Mytilus edulis: one gene and its partner. The protein of the gene in region 1 purifies or fractionates together with the protein of each later gene. This does not show direct contact. Links are inferred from orthologs where the notes say so. Each region holds a gene or a part of one and is shown in the gene's direction. Other genes may lie near its edges.

Region 1 (11,262 bases):
ATGATGTCTATAACCCTAACCCTAGGTCTGTCTATAACGCTAACCCTAGGTCTGTCTATAACCCTAACCCTAAGTATGTCTATAACCCTTACCCTAATGATGTCTATTACCCTAACCCTAATGATGTCTAAAACCCTAACCCTTATGCTTTCTATAACCCTAACCCTAATGCTGTACATAACCCTAACCCTAATGCCGTCTATAACCCTAACCCTAATGATGTCTATAACCCTTACTCTAATGATGTCTACAACTCTTACCCTAATGATGTCTATAATTCTAACTTTAATGATGTCTATAACCCTAACCCTAATGCTGTATATAACCCTAACCCTAATGCTGTCTATAACCCTAACCCTAATGATGTCTAAGACCCTAACCCTAAAGCTGTCTTTAACCTTAACTCTAATGATGTATACAACCCTAACCCTAATACTGTATATAACCTTAACCCTAAGTCTGTTTATTACCCTAACCCTAATGCTGTCTATAACCCTAACCCTAAGTCTGTCTATAACCCTTACCCTGATGCTGTACATAACCCTAACCCTAATGCCGTGTATAACCCTAACCCTAATGATGTCTAAAACCCTAACCTTAGTGATGTATAAAACCCTAACCCTAATGCTGTCCATAACCCTAACCCTAATGCCGTCTAGAACCCTAACCCCTAATGATGTCTATAACCCTAACCCTAATGATGTTTATAACCCTTACCCTTAGGCTGTCTTTAACTCTAACCCTAATGATGTCTATAACCCTAACCCTAAAGCTGTCTATAACCCTAATCCTAATGATCTATATAACCCTAACCCTAATGCTGTCTATAACCCTAACCCTAAAGCTGTTTATAACCCTAACCCTAATGATGTATATAACCGTGGTACCCTAACCCTAATGCTGTCTAAAACCCTAACCCTAATGCTGTCTATAACCCTAACCCTAGTTCTGTCTATAACCCTAACCCTAATGCTGTCTATAGCCCTAACCCTAAATCTGTTTATAACCCTAACCCTAATGATGTCTATAACCCTAACAATAATGATGTATATAACCCTAACCCTAATGATGTCAATAACACTAACCCTAATGATGTCTATAACCCTTACCCTAATGCTGTATATAACCCTAACCCTAAGTCTGTCTATAACCCTAACCCTAAGTCTGTCTATAACCCTAACCCTAATGATGTCTATAACACTAACCCTAATGATGTCTATAACCCTAACCCTGATGCTGTATATAAGCCTAACCCTAATGTTGTCTTTAACCCTTACCCTGATGCTGTATATAACCCTTACCCTAATGCTGTATATATCCCTTACCCTCATGTTGTCTTTAACCCTAACCCTTATGCTGTGTATAACCCTAACCCTAATGCTGTCTATAACCCTAAACCTAATGCTGTCGATAACCCTAACCCTAATGCCGTCTATAACCCTAATCCTAATGCTGTATATAACCCTAATCCTAAGTCTATCTATAACCCTAACCATAATGCTGTCTAAAGCCCTAACCCTAATGCTGTCTATTACCCTAACCCTAATGCTGTCTATGACCCTAATGCTCTCTATAACCCTAACCCTAATGCTGTCTATAATACTAACCCTAATGCTGTCTATAACCCTAACCTAATGCTGTATATAACCCTAACCCTAAGTCTGTCTATAACCCTTACCCTAATGCTGTCTATAACCCTAACCCTAATGCTGTCTATAACCCTAACCGTAAGTCTGTCTATAACCCTTACCCTAATGCTGTCTATAACCCTAACCCTAATGCTGTCTATAACCCTAACCATAATGCTGTCTCTAACCCTAACCCTAATGCTGTCTAAAACCCTTACCCTAATGCTGTCTATAACCGTAAGCCCAAGTCTGTCTATAGCCCTTACCCTAATGCTGTCTAAAACCCTAAACGTAATGCTGTCTATATAACCTCACCCTAATGCTGTCTATAACCCTAACCCTAATGCTGTCTATAACCCTGACCCTAATGCTGTCTAAAACCCTAACCCTAATGCTGTCTATAACCCTAACCCTAATGCTGTATATAACCCTAACCCTAAGTCTGTCTATAACCCTAACCCTAATGCTGTCTATAACCCTAACTCTTATTCTGTCTATAACCCTAACCCTAATTCTGTGTATAACCCTAACCCTAATGTTGTCTATAACCCTAACCCTTATGCTGTCTATAACCCTAACCCTAAAGCTGTCTATAACCCTAACCCTAATGCTGTCTATAGTCATAACCCTAATGCCGTCTTCAACCCGAACGCTTATATTTGATGATGAAATTTATTAATGTGCGTGTCAAGCTTTTTTTTTATTATTAAACTTTGATGGTTACAGAGATCTTATATTAAGTTTTGCATTCCCTTAAACGTGTACAGAGCAAGGATTTGCTATAAAATAGATTCAAATGAAGATTTAGGACTCAAATATAGCAAAATTAATATCCTTTTCATAAGTTTTTTGTATTTCACATCGAACTTGAATCTGTAGATAGTTGTTTTTATTTTTTATCACTGATTTAGGGTTCTTAGTGGAGAGTTTTCTCATTTTAAATCATACCACATCTTCTTATATTAGTGATCGACACATTGTTGTTCATAGTATTTGTGACATTTGTTGTTAATATAACACATTGTATTTATGTGAGATTAATTAAACACTTCTGCTATTAGAAACGTTTATAGTTTTTTTAATTGGAAAGATGCTTTTGTGCTTTTGTGTAAAATTGCTTGTTTTAAGATTGTAACATAGTGATGACTGCTGTACCCATATTCTGACTATTTTATTTATTATGTCTGTTTTGATCACGCATCGAGGTAAAAATAACGGAATTTTATGAGACTGTCGTACAAGTGAGAGGCTTAGCGCTATAAAACCAGGTTCAATCCACCGTTTTCTTGAAAATACCGGTACCAAGTCAGGAATATGACAGTTGTTGTCCATTCGTTTGATGTGTTTTGTCATTTGATTTTTGCCATGTGATTAGGGACTTTCCGATTTAACTTTTTTCAGAGTTGAGTATTTTTGTGATTTTCTTATTTTTTTCTTATAAAAACCCAAACTATGATGAACCTAGTATCAAGATTAAATAATGAAAATCTAAACCCACTTCTTAACGAAGCCTTTAAACTAACTAAAAATGTAGATATTAAAGGAACATACTCTTGGTTTACTTTTGGCAAAAATTTGTCACAAGAAATAAATATTGACATTAAACTTATTGAAGAAACTAAGACTTTACAACAGACTAAAAATTCAAAACCCCAATATTAAAAAAAGGTTACTATACTATTATCAAACTAAAATTGGTTATAAAATAAATGACTTGAATGATAATAGTAAAATATATCTATATAAATTTTTAATTTTGAAGTTACAAAACGATATTAACTTGTCTAAGGACATCAAGATAATGTTACAAGGGAAGGAATTAAAATACAATCCAAACCCCAAAAATTTAGGCCTTACTTTAGATGAAAAATGTAATTTCAATAAACACATAGACACTGTTGAGCAAAAAGCACAAAAAAATCCTTAGGGATAATCAGAAACATCAAGGGAATAGCAAAGGTATCTACAAAAATTTTAATACAAATGTATCAAAGTATAGTGCTGTGTGCAATGTTTTATGCTAGCAAATCAACAACAACACGCATATAAATAAATTAAATGCTATTCAAAGAAAAGGACTAGCCTTATGTCTCGACCAAACAACTACAGCTAATATAGAAACCTTAGAAGAAGTAGCAGGAATACTTCCACTGGACCTCAAAAGAGAACATGCCGGTATAAGACAAATTGCAAAAATAAAATATAAAGTCACTATCCCTATCCCTATTAAAGAAATTTTTGAAGATTGGAAAAATATAAATGAACCTGAAAAAATGATCTCACCAATTGGAAGAATGGTATTAGTCTGAAGACATGAAGAGGTCAACAGAGATTGATTCTGATTGTATAGAGTCTCAATTTGAATTCCGAGGGTAAGCAGCCTCAAAATCACCACCAGAGTATTGGAAAAATCTCGGAAGTTCAAAGTCTAGATTAGAGGAACAAGCATTTCAGGGAAAGACTATTAGTTTGGAAAAATACATCAACTAAAAAAATTCAACAATAGCTTTCACTGATGGCTCCTGCAAAGGAAACCCAGGTCCATGCGGGGCTGGGGCAGCTATTTCAATACCAAACAACACAGAACATGTGGAGTTAACATAGCCAGTTTCCAATAGAGGATCTATTTTATTAGGGGAATTAGTAGCTATCAAGCTGGTAATAGATTTTCTTATAAATCCAAACAACAAAAAAAAACACAGAATCCATCAAAATTTTCTCAGACAGCCAATCAGCAATTAGAATTCTAACTTTAAATTGGAAATTGAATAATTACGGCAAAACTATTCGTGATATTAAAATCGGTAAAATCGGTATTTTGGCACTAAAATCTGAAGGAATCATTGTTTCCATTAAATGGACCCCTGGCCACGCTGATATACAAGGTAAGGAACTAGCAGACCAACTAGCTAAAAAAGAAGCATAGGAGGCAGAAAAAATAGAAAGCATTCCAATATTTACAAAATAAGATATACAAAAAGGAGCAAAAGACAGTGTAACGTTAAAATGGCAAAACCGATCGGACACCAGTGATAAAGGAAGAAGATATTATTCCTTTCATCAAAATGTAAAAAATACACTTCCAAAAGACAAACCGTCAACTGAAATATATCGGATATCAACTAGTTTAAGAACAGGTTGTAGGTATCCCCATGGGCACTAATTGTGCCCCTTTAATGGCAGACTTGTTTTAGTACTGTTACGAATCACAGTTTATGACTAAACTCAGTAAAGACCCGTCGAAGTTGCATTTAATTGATAAATTCAACAACACTTACCGTTATCTTGATGATATTTTTTCGTTAAATAATCAAGAATTTTCTCAATATACTGCTGAAATTTACCCCAAGGAACTTACTTTAAATAGATCAAATTTATTCGGTCCTGGATATAGATATTTCGGTTTTAAACGGGAAACTCCACACTAAAATTTACGACAAAAGAGACGATTTTTCGTTCCCTATTGTTAATTTTCCAGTTTTAGATGGTGATGTTCCTTTGGCATCATCTTACGGTGTTTATATTTCACAACTTGTTCGCTATGCCCGTGTCTGTTGTGACGTTTTTGATTTTGACGATCGCAACCTATGTATTGCTGGTAAATTATTAAACCAGGGATATCGTTACCATAAATTACTTAAAACCTTTACTAATTTTTTCCATAGATATAAAGATTTGGTTTTGAAGTTTGGTTGTACCTGTAGAAAACTTATTTCAAACGGGATAGCACATCCTCATTTTTACGGAAATGTTGTTAACCGTGCCCGGAAATTTGGAAATAATCCATGTAAACTTGTCGCTCCTTTAAATAAACTTATTCTAAAAGGTTACCTATTCAACACTGTAGTAAGATCATTGAATATTGTTTTTATTGGTATAAATATTGATTTTGTTATCAGTAAATTAAAAGCTAACTAAATATTACCAGTATATTATATACATATACATATTCATGGATCTACAATATGTCGATACCTGTAACTTGGCATTGCACAGGGTCATGTTTTTCTCTGGCTGTTTATGACGTCTTTACACTAAATCCATTGGATGTTTGATGTGTACGGATTGATGGTTAAGTCTTAGATGCATGATTTTTTTTATTAGTTGTTAGAAGCTTTGAACTAGCTGTCAGATAACTGCGAGTACTCTCAGATCTGTTCATTGCGTCTTTTTGTGTCGGGATGTATAAGTACCCGGCCACTTCCACTTATATTTTTGTCCATCTGATGAGTTTAACCTTTTTCAACTGATTTTTATAGTTCGTTCTTATGTTGTACTGTTATACCACTGTCCCAGGTAAGGGGAGGGTTGGGATCCCACTAACATGTTTAACCCCGCCACATTATTTATGTATGTGCCTGTCCCAAGTCAGGAGCCTGTAATTCAGTGGTTGTCGTTTGTTTATGGGTTACATATTTGTTTTTCGTTCATTTTTTTTACATAAATAAGGCCGTTAGTTTTCTCGTTTGGATTGTTTTACATTGTCTTATCGGGGCCTATTATAGCTGATTATGCGGTATGGGTTTTGCTCATTGTTGAAGGCCGTGACCTATAGTTGTTTTAATGTCTGTGTCATTTTGGTCTTTTGTGGATAGTTGTCTCATTGGCAATCATATACCACATCTTCTTTTTAATATAGGATATTGTAATTTAAACTCATACAAATCAATGATATGCCCAGCAGTCATCGACAAATGCAGCTGTGGACAAATAGAAACAGTTGACCATTATCTTCTGTATTGTGAAAGTTATGAGGAGGCTAGAGAGAAACTCAGCTCTGCACTCTACTTCATAACATCAAAACTAACATTTGAATCAAAAGTATTATTAGCAACAACAGAAAATGAAAATTACAAACATCACATAGAAGATATTCAACATTTGTTAGGGGTCTTTATTAAAGATACTGGAAGGTTCACAAAATAGATAGTTAAGGTTTTATATAAGGGTTAATTATTTATTCATTTTTTTTTTAAATATTTTAAAATTTTTGTTATTTATTTATTTATTTTTCTCTGCAGTGCCACATCATAAATACAAATGTACTTATGAATTTTATACAACAGCGACATAAAATTACCAGAGTGATCGAAAATACAGAGAGATTATAGTGTCAAGTTGACACTTACTAAAGACTAAATTAAGACTTTAAATCTATAAATGACCAAATGCAATACTAACTTTCACACCCAAATAAAGAAACAAGAAACAAGAAATGTTAACCAAATTTAGAATAAGCGACCATTGTCTTTTGATAGAAACGATATTTAAAAAATACCAAGAAACGAAAGAAAATGTAAATGATATGTAATATCTTAGATGATGAATTCCATTTTCTCTTTAACTGTTCGCAAATAAAGAATGATACATCACACATCATTCTATAATATTCAAGAACATATATACACCATTTTCCACTAGAGCCATGTGATATTCAAAGTATTGACTACGTGCGGAAATAAGAAAATAGATAGATAGCGCTAGCACACCTATCTACTTTATAGGTGGCAACAGAGCTACCATAAATCAACACTTTAAACTAAAAAAATATTTTTTTTTAAGAATTAAAAAAAAATAAAACATATATAAAAATCAGATTTATTCATGGACGTAAACAATTTTAAAAAAGTAATTAAAATTGAAACAAAGTATAAAATTAATGAGATAGATATATTTTGTGTAATCACGCAGTAACGTGGTTAATGGAGGCCGCCATATTTTGGATGAAAACAAACTTGTTGAAAGTCGAACCCTGCTTTAATGTTTCGTCTGGTTTCGTCAATTATCGTGATTTATCAATAACAATTTGTACTGAAATTTAAAGGAACATTTACTTTGAAATTGAAACTGTCATTTAAAATCATGGACGATAAGGGTAGCCCGTCGTCATCTCTAAACTCAGCGAGCACCGGCGACACAGGTCATCTCTTGCATGAGCTTATGAACTTGCAGAAATCAAATGGTAAATTATTAAACACATGAAAAACACCGTGATGATTTAATATTAATGGAACGAACACAAATAAGAAAACACCATGAAACATGTCGAACCCTTGTAGCTAAAGAATAACAGTTTAGGCACTGGCTATAGTTTGGAAACAACAAATTATTATAATGTCTTTTTTTAATGAAAAATTATTGTTAGTTGCTGCATTAAATTATTATTGCTGTAGTCAAGGTCAGATAGGGTACTGATTTATAATTACGGATGTATCCTGGTCTCATCGGTTTTCTTGCTATCATAATCAAGAATTCATTGTGACGTCCCGTTTGTTTATATCCCATAGTACATCATTAAGAGAGAACCAAGTTATAGTGAACTACGTTTAATATACAGCATGGTTAATCTACATTTTTTACAAGAATAACATGTGTAACACAGTTGGGCGTGAGTGCCAGTGCACATGAGTTATTACACGTGCATTATCAAAGTACTGAAATACGGGAAGGTCTAAAAACAGGACAGGTAAAACCAGGACAGTTATTTTCGATACGTTTTTATCTGTAACTTTTGTTTTACTCAACATATTGTTAAAATTTAAATTTCATAATAAAGAACATGGTATTTACTTATATTATTTGCAAAAAATATAAAAATGAATAATAACTAAGTTAAAAAAAATCTGCCAGGACAGTTTAATTTTATGAAAAAAATGGCTGAAATTGCCGAGAAAAGTTTACTTATAATTGAAATATTTTTCCCAAAACAAAAATCTGGCATAATATTTTTGTACGATTATAAAGATTATGAAATATTCATTCTAAAAATCTATAATTTAATATTTTTTTCAGCTTTTAAAGGTAAAAAAATCTGCCAGGACAGTAGCCTTTCACGTTGGAAATTTTGTTGAAATTATTTCAAAATACAAATACAAAGTTAAATATCTTCTTCAAAATAAATGTCTGGTAAACAAATGTTAGTTCATTGAAAAGTTTAGAATATAAGCTTTATGAAAATATAAAATTATATGAACTTTTATGTCATTAACACCAAAAAAATCTGCCAGGACAGTAGCCTACTCCGCTAAATTTTAAGAAACAAATGGCTGAAATTGTCGAGAAGAGTTTACCTATAATTGTTATATTTTCTTCAGTACAACTGTCTGGCATAATATTTTTGTATGATTATAAAGATTATGGAATAATCTTTCTAAAAACCTATGAATTGATATTTTTTTCGTCTTTTAAAGGTAAAAAAAATCTGCCAGGACAGAAGAATTTTATGTTAGAAATTTTGTTGAATTTGTTCAAAATCAAAGTATAAAGTTTAATATCTTCTTCAAAATAAATTTCTGGTAAACAAATGTTAGTTCATTTAAAAGTTTAGAACATAAGCTTTGAGAAAATATAAAATGATAATTCATTAACGACAAAAAAATCTGCCAGGACAGTAGCCTACTCCGTTTGAATTATCAGCTGGACATTAGCTTAATATGCTACATGTTTTATAAATGGCAGAAATAAACATTATTTTTAATCATAAATAAAATAGTATATTTATTAACTTATCTGTCTTTTTTTTAAATGATAATTAGGACTAAATCATTAAAAATAAAACTATAAATTAAAAACAAATTTGCCAGGACAGTACTATTACATAGGAAGAAGTGAAGAATTCTCAAAGATTTTTTTTATTCTATTCAAAGTGTTCAGTTTGAAATTTATCCGTGATAGAGTCATTAAAGTGAATATTTCTAGAAAACATAATTATATTGGTGTGGTTATTAAAACACTATTTGTTGATTTAATTCGATTTCTATTCATTGTATCAAAGGCAGAATTATGTTTTGACAGTAATAAAAACTTCAAAGTCACTGATTGGTGTCAAATACTCAAAAGGTGTTTATTCACTAATAAGTAATGTGTTTAGAGCACAGGAAAGTGTCACTTTTTTTATCCTCTTACATAAAACTGGAGAGTTTCCAAATGTTGCATTTTTTAACTTCTTTTTGCAATTTACACCTTTACATGTTTTCTAATGAATCAAATTTGCCATGCACAGTCACAATTCAGTACATTCCACAACACTAGTTAACCTTTTTCAACAAAAAAAAAATCACGAGATAATCTATACTAGTTCTAGTTGTTCTACATGTACCCAACCTGAAAAACAAAATTATAGAGCATTTGCAATTGCGAATATCCCACAATCTATTGCATTAATTAAATTTTATCTTTAAATATAAAATCAATTAGTTTTCCTAAAATTCAAGCTAAATATCTTCATTACCACACACTCACTTTACGGTTGACATGACAGAATATACAAATACACAGATTCGATGACAGATCGTTAAGTTTAGCACGTGCCAACTAAATATTTAGCTATAGGACGACTCATGGGACACTTTTTATGAAATTCATCTATTATCAAATGAATATTTTTATCTTTTCCCAAAATTTAATGCTAAAACTTAACAACGAATTATAACAACAAAAAGTAATAATCTATCCAACTTTCGATTTTGATTTGAAACAAATTTGTCCACAAGTTGAGACATAATAAGTAACTGTCCTGGCAATTTTTTTTATTCACTTTTTTTTTTTAATTTTATGATTGGGTCTAGCTTTTACTTAATGGTAGTATCAAAATTGTACTTTAGACAATCGCAAAAAAAAACTATTCCAATATTATATTTAAAAAAAAATAATTGCGTTGTTAATTTCTGCAATTAATTCAGAAATTTAACGGGCATAGGACATTTGAGCGAAAAAGAAAAAAGCACATAGGGTCATTTGAGCGCCGACTTCATAGGACATTTGAGCGCCGGGATATTAACCTTACCTGAGTTTTCAGACAGGACATTTGAGCGAAATTTTCCCTGATAATTTTACACGAATTAAGATTTTTTTTTAAAAGTAAGAAAAAAAAGTAAGATTTAGTTATAAATATTTTTTATTTTATTTCACACCCGAGTAATTCGACCGGTTCTGGCTGGTTTATGTAAGTGAAATCCTAAGTTGATCTCTATTTACCAATCAATTCTACTATAATTCATTGGCTATGCAAATTTTCTTTGTTCTAAAATTCTTATATATATATCTATTAAGTGAAATGTCCCTTGGCACTTGAAATCTTAATACTAATAATACATGTACGTGTTAAAATGGATATTATTTTGACCGAGACTAATAAGGGAAAAAGAAGCCTTGTTTGTGACAGTTTCCGATATAGAGTGGACAAAACACTAAAAGGAGAAGAAATATCCTGGAGATGTACAGTAAGTACCTTTTTTTACAAATTTAATGTTAATGTAAACTACTTGTTCGTCTGTTACGCTTCAACTTCCATAACTTCTTTTAATTTTGATTTATATCTATATCATTATATGTCTATCTTATACCTCCTTTAGATTAATTTTTTAACACATTTGAATATAAGCTACCACATATAGGGTTAGGTATCAAGGCTCCATGTTGAAGGTCGTACTGTAACCTATATAACATTGTTAGGTTGATTTTCTAGGCACTTTACAATATTCATACAATACACTGTAAAAATTGTGCTTAGAGCCTAAACATGTTTAGGAAAATGTTTAGAAGCTAAACACATAAATGTCTGTGGTGTTCCCATTCTAAACATGTTATGAATTTCATTTCATTTCATTTCATACTACATCTTATTTTTATGTCT
Region 2 (10,535 bases), on another chromosome or scaffold:
TGGCAAATACTTCATGCATTTACATGAATACATTTGTATATAGGTTTATGGTGCATGGTTTTACTTTATATAATATAACCTTGTAGTTGGTATTTACATGGACCACTATTGGTAACAACATTTTAAATATGACAAACAGAAGTATATTTTCATGTATATTATAATATGGTAGGTATATATTTTGTTAGTGGGCTTTTCAATAATTTACTTTCAGACAAATACTTTGAGAAATTGTGACAAATTGGGTACATTCACTGAACACTTTCAATTTTACCACCTCAAAACCTATTTCTTTGGAATCTTCATAAAACTACTTGATTCTTCTATCGTCATCTTTCACCTTGTCCCTAATCTCATACATATTTCCCCCTTTTCAATAACTTTATCAAAGCATATTGTTTTGCGTATTAAGGCTTCGCAGCAGCCACCATAGCATATGATAATGTTTTGTGTATAAATGCTTGCAGCCACCATAGCATATGATAATGTTTTGTGTATAAATGCTTGCAGCCACCATAGCATATGATAATGTTTTGTGTATAAATGCTTGCAGCCACCATAGCATATTATAATGTTTGGTGTATAAATGCTTGCAGCCACCATAGCATAGGATAATGTTTTGTGTATAAATGCTTGCAGCCACCATAGCATATTGTAATGTTTTGTGTATAAATGCTTGCAGCCACCATAACATAGGATAATGTTTGGTGTATAAATGCTTGCAGCCACCATAGCATATGATGTTTTGTGTATAAATGCTTGCAGCCACCATAGCATATTATGTTTTGTGTATAAATGCTTGCAGCCACCATAGCATATGATAATGTTTTGTGTATAAATGCTTGCAGCCACCATAGCATATTATGTTTTGTGTATAAATGCTTGCAGCCACCATAGCATATTATAATGTTTTGTGTATAAATGCTTGCAGCCACCACAGCATATGATAATGTTTTGTGTATAAATGCTTGCAGCCACCATAGCATATTATAATGTTTGGTGTATAAATGTTTGCAGCCACCACAGCATAGGATAATGTTTTATGTATAAATGCTTGCAGCCACCATAGCATATGATAATGTTTTGTGTATAAATGCTTGCAGCCACCATAGCATATTATAATGTTTTGTGTATAAATGCTTGCAGTCACCATAGCATATGATAATGTTTGGTGTATACATGCTTGCAGCCACCATAGCATATTATAATGTTTTGTGTATAAATGCTTGCAGCCACCATAGCATATGATAATGTTTGGTGTATAAATGCTTGCAGCCACCATAGCATATGATAATGTTTGGTGTATAAATGCTTGCAGCCACCATAGCATAGGATAATGTTTTGTGTATAAATGCTTGCAGCCACCATAGCATATAATGTTTGGTGTATAAATGCTTGCAGCCACCATAGCAGTGTATAAATGCTTGCAGCCACCACAGCATATTATAATGTTTTGTGTATAAATGCTTGCAGCCTCCATATATAGCATAGGATAATGTTTTGTGTATAAATTTATGTCAAGCTGTCGGTCAAGAGCCCTTAATTGGAACAATAAATATTCTTAATGCTGAATGAGTTTTTATGTCTATTTAATGTAATTCCAAGACCAAAATTCCATTATTGTTAGTAATGGGATTCCACTGGTACTGATTCAGTAACCACAAACAAAGGTACCAGTTAATTGTTGTTAGCTATAAACCTGCTAATCAGAAGTTATCAATTATTAACAGAACCTACAGTGAACAAAGAATTATTCTATATTGAACAAAGAAAACTGTCACAAGTATATACAAACATTAACATCGTGCTGTCACTTCTGATTCCAAGATTTTATGTTATTTAACCAAATTAAGGGTACATGTAGGTTTAAATAAAATCAAAATGTAAATTACACCTTACAAAAGTCGAGACAAAAAAAAGACTAATATGACTAAACAATATGCTTTTAAATGATAATACATGTACAAATGTGTATATATGTCATTAAAATGTGCATAGGTTTTTTTTCCAAACTATTTCTATACTTTAAGTTTATCATTACAAGTTTTTAATGTTTTATCTTAATGTGTATATACATGTATATGTTCATAAAATCACATTATGCTCAGTGGCGGATCCAGAAATTTTTATAAGTGGGGGCCCAATGACTGGCCTAAGAGGGGGCCCGCTCCAGTTACGCTTCAGTGATTCCCTATATAAGCAACCAAAATTTTTGTTGCTTATATAGGGAATCACTGAAGCGTAACTGGAGTGGGCCCCCTCTTAAGCCTGCTCATGAATTTGCCCCCCCCCCCCCTAAATCCGCCTCTGCTGCTATTAATAATGGTAGAATTTCAAATTACCACAGGAACAATGAGGAAACTGCCATTGATTTTCATAAACATTGAGATTTTTTTAATTGGTGAAAGGTGAAATTTGTCATACCCCATTTGTGCAATTCTTTACTTGTCAGAAACAAATAAACATGTAGTTCAGTTGCACTTGAACAACTCTGGCTAAGAATTATAGGTTAATAATTGTGCAGAACAAACTTTCCTTAATTGACCCCATTTGTGTTAAAATAAAATTAGTTCTATCAAGGAGTATCAGAGAACATGAGAGAACAGATTATTTCACAATTGTGTTCCATCACCCTGTCTCAAGAATACTTTCTTTGTTGCAGCCACCGAATATAAATTAAATAGTGGACAAACTCTCTAACCACAGAGTAAACATCCAACCCACCCTGACAAAAAGTATACATCCCCCTGCTCACAGAGTTTACATTCTTATATATGAACATTAATATAAATAGCATGTGTGTCTGATACTGAGATGATAGACCATCATCCAGAGATGCCCACTGTTTCGTTACATTAAATTGGTGTAGTATGGTTCTAATTAAGAATGTTTATCTCTAGCTGACAATCCCTCCATACTTCTTACATCATACATTCCTCCTCTATTCATCAAATAATCAATACATTTAAGTTACATTTTGTATCTAATCATAATAATCCTAATTATTAATACAGATCATTTCCTGTAAATACAGTAAAACTCATTTTATGTTTATATAATCATCATATTTTTTCTTTAATTCTCAAAACACCCTATAGATGAGAAAAACAAGCTTGCTATTCAATTGTTTTTCCTTCAAAATACATGTATAAAAAACTGCCAAAAAGAAATCAGGCTTTCTCATATCTTTTATATAGATTTATAAACCTTGGCTTTTATGTTTGAATTGGTATAAATTTTCACTAGTTTTTGGGCCCTTTATAGCTTGCTGTTCGATGTGAGCCAAATCTCAGTGTTGAAGACCGTTCTTTGACCTATAATTGTTTACTTTTAATAAATTGTGGCTTTGGATGGGGAGTTGTGTCATAGGCACTAATACCACATCTTGTTATTACTATTTAGAGAATTGTTCTTTAAAACATTTAAAAACTAAATTTAAAAATAAATCTGTTTGTTTAATCTATTCGTTTTTGGTTAGTTTCTTATATTTTCTGTAGGGTGTAGGGTAGATGTGCATTGATGGGCTGGCCTCCAGCTGTCTTTAGCTCTTTGGTCAGGTTGTTTCTCTTTGACACATTCCCCATTTCCATTCTGAATTTTATGTAAAAATATGCATATATATGTATAAAAATTTGACTAAAGCACATTCCCAGTTGGGGCCCAAAGGCTCTCAAATAACTACTTCCCTATTAGTTCCTTTGAAGGGTTGTCACAAAAGTGTTCAGATTATTGATACATGTACATTTGTTGCAGATATATTTATGGTACTGTTGAAATAACTTGTTAAACATCTTTGAATTCACTGTCAAGTATAATATATAACAAAAAATATGTGGTGACAAACAAAATTTGAAGTACATGTACACAAATGTAGCAGGAGGCTGGAGGGTTCAAAAATTTTAGAAAAATTTTAAACTTGTTTTTTTTCTTTATTATAAATTTTAGTTATTACACTTAATTCTTACTTTATGATATGGCACAAAAATCAACCCCAAAAATTGATTCCTTTTGGCCATGATGAGTTGAAACATATGTATATCATTGAAAAAGCTCAAGTTATCTCCCTTTGGTGCAAAAATGACATTTCTGATATCTTTTTAAACTCATTGTTGACCTATATTTTTTCCCCATTATTTTCAAATAAACTACTTACATTTTGTAAACTAGACAATTGTAAAATTTATGGGATTTTTGTAATTTAGTTCTTTTTTTATTTCGATATTACAATGTACATATTTTTCTCCTATTATACATGTAGTTCAACAGAAAAAAGTACCTTAAAACAAAAATGCATGCTTCTTAGGATAGCAGATTGTGAGCTCAAATGAACGGTGACCCCACTTTTATTCTATTTTTCTATTCTATTTTTCTATTTAGTATATGATAAAGTTCATTTATATAAAAAAAATAGTAAAATCCTATATATTTAAAAAAAAAATCATTTATACCCATGAGCCCCCTTTATCTGCGTGCAACTTCTCTGCAGGAAGATTGGACAGAAGAGCAATATTTCTATCTTTCAAACGTTGTTATAGGTCCAAGATATCATATAAAATATAATTTTAAGTAGATATAGGAAGATGTGGTGTGAGTGCCAATGAGACAACTCTCCATCCGAATAATAATTTAAAAAAGTAAACCATTATAGGTCAATGTACTGCCTTCAACACGGAGCCTTGGCTCACACCGAACAACAAGCTATAAAGGGCCCCAAAATTACTAGTGTAAAACCATTCAAATGGGAAAACCAACGGTCTAATCTATATAAAAAAGGTCCAGGATAGATATTAATAATCCTTTAAATGGGTTAGAACCCCCCTTTTTCTTGACAATCAATGCATTTGAATGGGGACATAAAGTTGGAACCCCCCCATTATACAAATGCCAGGTTCCGTCCCTGCTACATCAGTACATGTACAATGTAGTTTACAGTCAAACTGTATTATTCCTTATTATTTGAATTCTAATAAGTAGTACCAAGGATTTGTATAGTGATCTTGAACTGCATAAGACATTGTAAACAGTCTAGATGCCAAAGTCCACAACATTGCAATCCTTCTTACGATACAAATCCTTGGTAGTATATATGTACATGGGCTTTGGTCATTGTTGAAGGCCGTACGGTGACCTATAGTTGTTAATTTCTGTGTCATTTTGGTCTCTTGTGGAGAGTTGTCCTATTGGAAGTCATACATGTACCACATCTTCTTTTATTATAATATGTATATATGCCTTTTTGGTTAGGTAGATTTTAATAATAGAAAATGTATATATTACTATTACTTTTAATAGGAAAATGGAATTAATTTTTAACCAAATTTTAAAATAATAATTAAATAAACATTTCATATACATCAGAATGAAATATATTTTTGTTTTGCACTCCTAAATCAAATCAAATATGAAAATCTTGTCTTTTTATTTAAACTAGGCAATACACACTTCTGATAACATTCTAAAGCAAAAAGCATTATGAAATGAGGAAATGGTCACTTTCTCATTGTATAATAGAACACTTCTAACTCATGAAACATGATCACTAAATTTGTAATAACTGGGAATTTCCCTACATCATTACAATGTATGAACATCTTTAACATTTCTAATCTACATTTTTACATAATCAATTTATTGATGTCTACTCATTGACTTTGGAGGCTACATGTTATATTATTATTATTTTTAAATGCAAATTTGTATAAATTGATAAATATTCTGGAAAAAATGTTATAAAACAAAATTTAAAAAAAAATCTATCCCTAAATTTACAGCTAATTTTGTCCTTAATTTTTTTTCAAATCAAAAATAAAAAACATATTTTTTACAGCAAACTATTTTCTCTAATTGAGGAGAGCTGTTTTAAATAGTTTATCTTTAGCCCTCTTTGATTGTAGAAAATACAATGCAAACATTTTATTTCCATCTTTACTTAAGCATCAGTAACCAACAGGAGGGTGCCATGTTTATCACTCATCCATTGATAAAACATCAATAATTTATGAATGCTTACACAGATTTTATAATAAAGGTTTCCACACGGAATATTAAGTTCTTACCTGGACCTTTATTGTCCATTTTTGGATCTTAAAACTGAGAAAAATCCTAAAATAATTTTTGCTACAAATCATCAAATTCGTCCATTTTTGTCTTTTTTCTTGTATCATCATCATCCGGGGTTTTCTTCCATATTATTGGTATATTTTTCATCTTTCCATTTGTAAATTGCGGGGAAAAACTATTTTTCACTTCTTTTCACGGTAAATATATGTTGCGGTAATCCATCGACATACGACACTGAAGTAAAGGTACACTTGTGTTCGCTGTACCGTGAAACGTAAGTGTGCCGCTTGATCAAATTTCGGGCACCTGTTTTCAATTTAAGTAAGTGTGTCACCAAAAATTAATTGAATAATGGAAAATCATTAATTAAAATATAACATTTGTAAAGAGCTATACTTATTTGCATGTTGTTATTTGTTTGTATTTTAAAGCAATGCTATTTATAATAAATGTAACGGAGTAAATATTCAATGCGAGGCTTCATCGATCAGCGGAAATGGCGGAAGGTCGAATGAATTTGGCTGCTTTGCAGCAAAGAGATCCGTATATAACGGACATAGTTGACACTGCGTCTCAAGTTGCCTTATATTCCTTTAGTTCGAAGTCAAGCGAATGGGTTTGTGTTAATCATTTCACTGATTAATTAGCATGTTTCTGTAAAAACACCCTCTACTTTTACTGCTTGTCATATTATTATGATAAATCTTCTATTTTTAACTTAAGAATAAAGAAGTTTTTCTTTGCAATTGCTATATGACATTTTGAGAAACTGTCACCCACGATGTCTTTATAGATTATTTGAACTTCTGATATTAGTTTATTTGTGTGACTTTAATTCAATAGGTAAAAACACTACAATTTACAAAATTCATAGTGTTAGATTATCTGAAGACTGAACCATATAATAGGGCTCTTCACGGTTAGTTCGGCCATATTGGATAGGGGGCAGATTTTCATAATAGAGGTAAAAATGGTGTGAAAAATACGGGAAAACATCATTAAAACAGAGCTTTTGCTTGGAAACACACATAGGATTTCCCACACTTTCATACCATTTCCACCTCCTTCCAAAAAATCTGCCCCCTATCCAATATGGCCGAACTAACCGTGAAGAGCCCTATTACATTGTATACATGAGCCTGTGGGCAGTAATGCCCCTTACTGTCAGGCTTCAAACGTATTTTTGGCTACAGTTTGCGTCAAGTTGGTAAAAATGTTATCATGATTCATTACCATGATCACAGTATCCTTATTATGTTGCGAGAGGTTTCAAATAATTATTGTATGCATTATTTTTTGAAACAATTAATGTGATGCGTCAAAATAATCCTCATGCACCAAAAAACCGTTTACTTCATTGTGCAGAGTTTTAACTGTTTAATTTGTCATAAAGGTTCATGTACCCCATTACTACCCTCATAGATGTTCAGCAATGTATGTATTGACTATTGATCTCTGTTTGAGATGACAGTTGTTTTTGTTAAGGCACAGAAACATTTATTTTGATTCTTCAGAGGAAAAACATACAAACATAAACATGATAAAGTCTGATGAGCATTTAAAGTAGCAGTATTCTTTAAAATAATAACCAAATAATGTGGGGGGAATGTAGCAAATATGATTGTTTTTTTACATTAAACTGCAATCTAATCCCCTTTCCTACTAGCCTAAGCTGCCTTGCATCCTGGCCCAACCTCCCCTTTGCTTCAATAGGGCCAGATGTAATATATATTAATACAGATCACATTTACCATTTTTCAGCGCAAAATCGGCCTTTAACTGATATCTCTGTCAGTGTTCTCCCCAAGATTTTTGGATAGCGCTGTGGTAAGCGCGTAATTTCCGACAATTCTCAGTAACTTTGTCACGGCGCGCAGTTTGTTTGAAATTGATTTGTAATTTGTGTTTTTCTTATATTATGCTATTGATGTTTTCTCTTGTATTGGTGTCCTCATCATACTCATGGAAGTTACCCCTTTGTTTGTTAATGTTATCAAAATAAAATTGAGAATGGAAATGGGAAATGTGTCAAAAAGTCAACAACCTGACCAGTGTTCTCCCCAGGGCCTTTTAACATCATGGTAATATGATGCTATAATCTTAAATGTGATGCTATTTGAAATGGTTTTATTATAGATTATATAAATGTTATGGATGTGATGCTATAATTTTTAGAAACAAGATAGTTTAAATTTTCCCTGTTTACCAGGATGCCAAATGAAATATCTGGGGAGAACCCTGCTGACCATAGTTAATATCTGGATATAGAAGAAGAGTATTTTTCTCTTTTGTAAATTCTTATAATCTTCATATTACATGTATCTGTGTATAAAAGTTAAAACCCAAGGAGAAGTCTTTTTTCCATGATTGGTCTATACCAGACTGCCTATGTGAAGATTTCTAAGCACTAACAGGTGATGTTGCAGAACATGTAGGACCAACAATAAAGACTTAAGGAGGCTCGAGGGTATAAAAATTTCAGAAAAAAAATAAACATTTGTTTTTCATTTCAAATTTTATTTGTTACCTTTTGTAGTTGTTACTTATTATATGGTACAAAAATCATTCAATACAAACAATTTGTGTTGGCCCCAGATGACTTTTAAAATGTATACATCATTGAAAAAGTTCCAAATTATCTCCCTTTGGTGGAAAAATGCCATTTTTTGGCTTTAAAATTGAAATGTCTTTTTTAACTCATAAACCTATGATAGTACTTTTTGAATATATATATGAGGATGCAAAACAAATTTCTTGGTAGAGGGGTCTAAATACAGCACAAATAACATTTTCTAAAAGACCAAAAAAGTGAAAAGTATACTTTAACAAAAGTTTTACAAAGCGTATTTGACTAACAGGTCGAACAGCTGATGTTCTTAAACCCTGCTGACTGACATTGGTGATTGCTAAATAAATGGATCACAATGTGTAACAAAATGTGTCTTTATTATGAATTAAATACCAAACAGAAAACAATATAAAACTTGGGGAAAAGATAGTATACTGCAAACAAAAGATGCAAAAATTAGAACACAATATCCAGATTTCGACAATTAATGTCTCTTCTGTGATGTTAGGGATCCAAACAGTTTTTGGAAGGCCATAAAATTTACCTCAATTTAGGAAAGACTAATTATATATACGAATTATATATACATACAGGACGAGGTATATGCAAAAAGATAAACTTTGTTTCATAGTGACTTTTCAAATACATGTACTCCTCTAAAATATATTTGTTATATAATGACGGAACATATGTTGCATATTAATTGATTTAATAAGTAAATCATGAAACTTGTTTAGGTGATTATTAATTTATTGCATAATTCAGCATATCTAATTGAACAGGTATAATTACGTAATTTGAGAACATGCCATTTAACAAAAAGATTTTTTAATCATTGAACATGTTTTCCTCCCTCTTGACCAATAGGTGAATGTATTTATCTAAGGTTCAATTGGTTAAAAGATAATATACAAATTTATTTGTTCTCCTGTTAGATGGGAGACAACTACTTGTGTTTTTATAGTCCTGGCTCTAAAATATGCCATCACTGTAGATTGTAAGATGGGACAAAATACTTGATAAAAGACAGCAATTTTATAATGAAACCATAGATTGGTTAATTAATGATTGATAGTAATAATAAACAGGCTGTTATTTCAACTAAGAATTATTTTTAATCATGGAATTAGGATAATTTCTTGTGCTTGAAATATTTGATAAATTCCATGTTTGTTCTCTACTTTAATGTTTGAGTGGTGCATTACACTTTTCATACAATGTTTTTCGTATTGATAGTGTTGTGTGTGGCGCAGGACATTCTATTGAAAATGTGCTATCGTCTTTGTAATAGAAAGTGTTGTGCACCGCACAGAACATTAAATACAGAATAAACAGGGAATTTATTAAAAATTAAGCAATTGTGCAAATTCCATAATTTAAAAAAAATCCAAGTTGAAATAATAGCCTGTTAATATAACTTTTAGATACATTTATTAATTAAAAAAAGTATTAATTATCATCCTTAACTTACATTTTCATCACATTGCTTGTCACAATTTTTAAGTGTACAAAGGGAGACAATTCAATCTCCTTTATCAAAACTAGTTTATAAGGAAAACATTAGCATATATACTTTTGTAAGTGTTCAGTGTTGTGCTTTATAATAAAGTTCTGCTATAATAGATTTTTGATCTAGAAATGTGTAAATCTTGTGTGCAATCTCTTCTTACAACTGTTGACTTTTTAGACAAAATTATGTGAAAGTGATCTTGACATTTTTCATAATGCCCTGTTCTTTTAAATGAACAAGTTTCAATTTTTGGACTGGATATTTCTGTAGGAGTTTTTCACAAACATATCAGCAATCATAACTGATGTCTTTGCTCAATATGATGAATCGGGGTCTAATCTTATATTTTGGAGAGGGAGAAATGACTTCTCCTTCCATGAGAGAGTACAGGGATGT

What was found. The genes of interacting proteins can lie anywhere in the genome.
Region 2: the proteins of enhancer of mRNA-decapping protein 4-like (region 1) and mRNA-decapping enzyme 1B-like purify together in Homo sapiens (affinity purification with mass spectrometry; 3 studies listed by BioGRID and IntAct, with this or other methods). This does not show direct contact. The link is inferred for Mytilus edulis from reciprocal best matches to the Homo sapiens genes EDC4 and DCP1B.

The regions. Positions count from the first base shown.
Region 1 is NC_092348.1:37,220,947-37,232,208, forward strand, and holds the start of enhancer of mRNA-decapping protein 4-like, read left to right. Parts: upstream 1-7,247; 5' UTR 7,248-7,490; coding exon 7,491-7,590; intron 7,591-10,600; exon of another isoform or gene 10,601-10,735; coding exon of another isoform or gene 10,736-10,849; intron 10,850-11,262. Other genes in the region: uncharacterized protein, read left to right, coding at 10,736-10,849. UniProt on the Homo sapiens protein: In the process of mRNA degradation, seems to play a role in mRNA decapping. Component of a complex containing DCP2 and DCP1A which functions in decapping of ARE-containing mRNAs. Promotes complex formation between DCP1A and DCP2.
Region 2 is NC_092344.1:318,308-328,842, forward strand, and holds the start of mRNA-decapping enzyme 1B-like, read left to right. Parts: upstream 1-6,520; 5' UTR 6,521-6,556; coding exon 6,557-6,676; intron 6,677-10,535. Other genes in the region: muscle calcium channel subunit alpha-1-like, read right to left, coding at 6,057-6,075. UniProt on the Homo sapiens protein: May play a role in the degradation of mRNAs, both in normal mRNA turnover and in nonsense-mediated mRNA decay. May remove the 7-methyl guanine cap structure from mRNA molecules, yielding a 5'-phosphorylated mRNA fragment and 7m-GDP.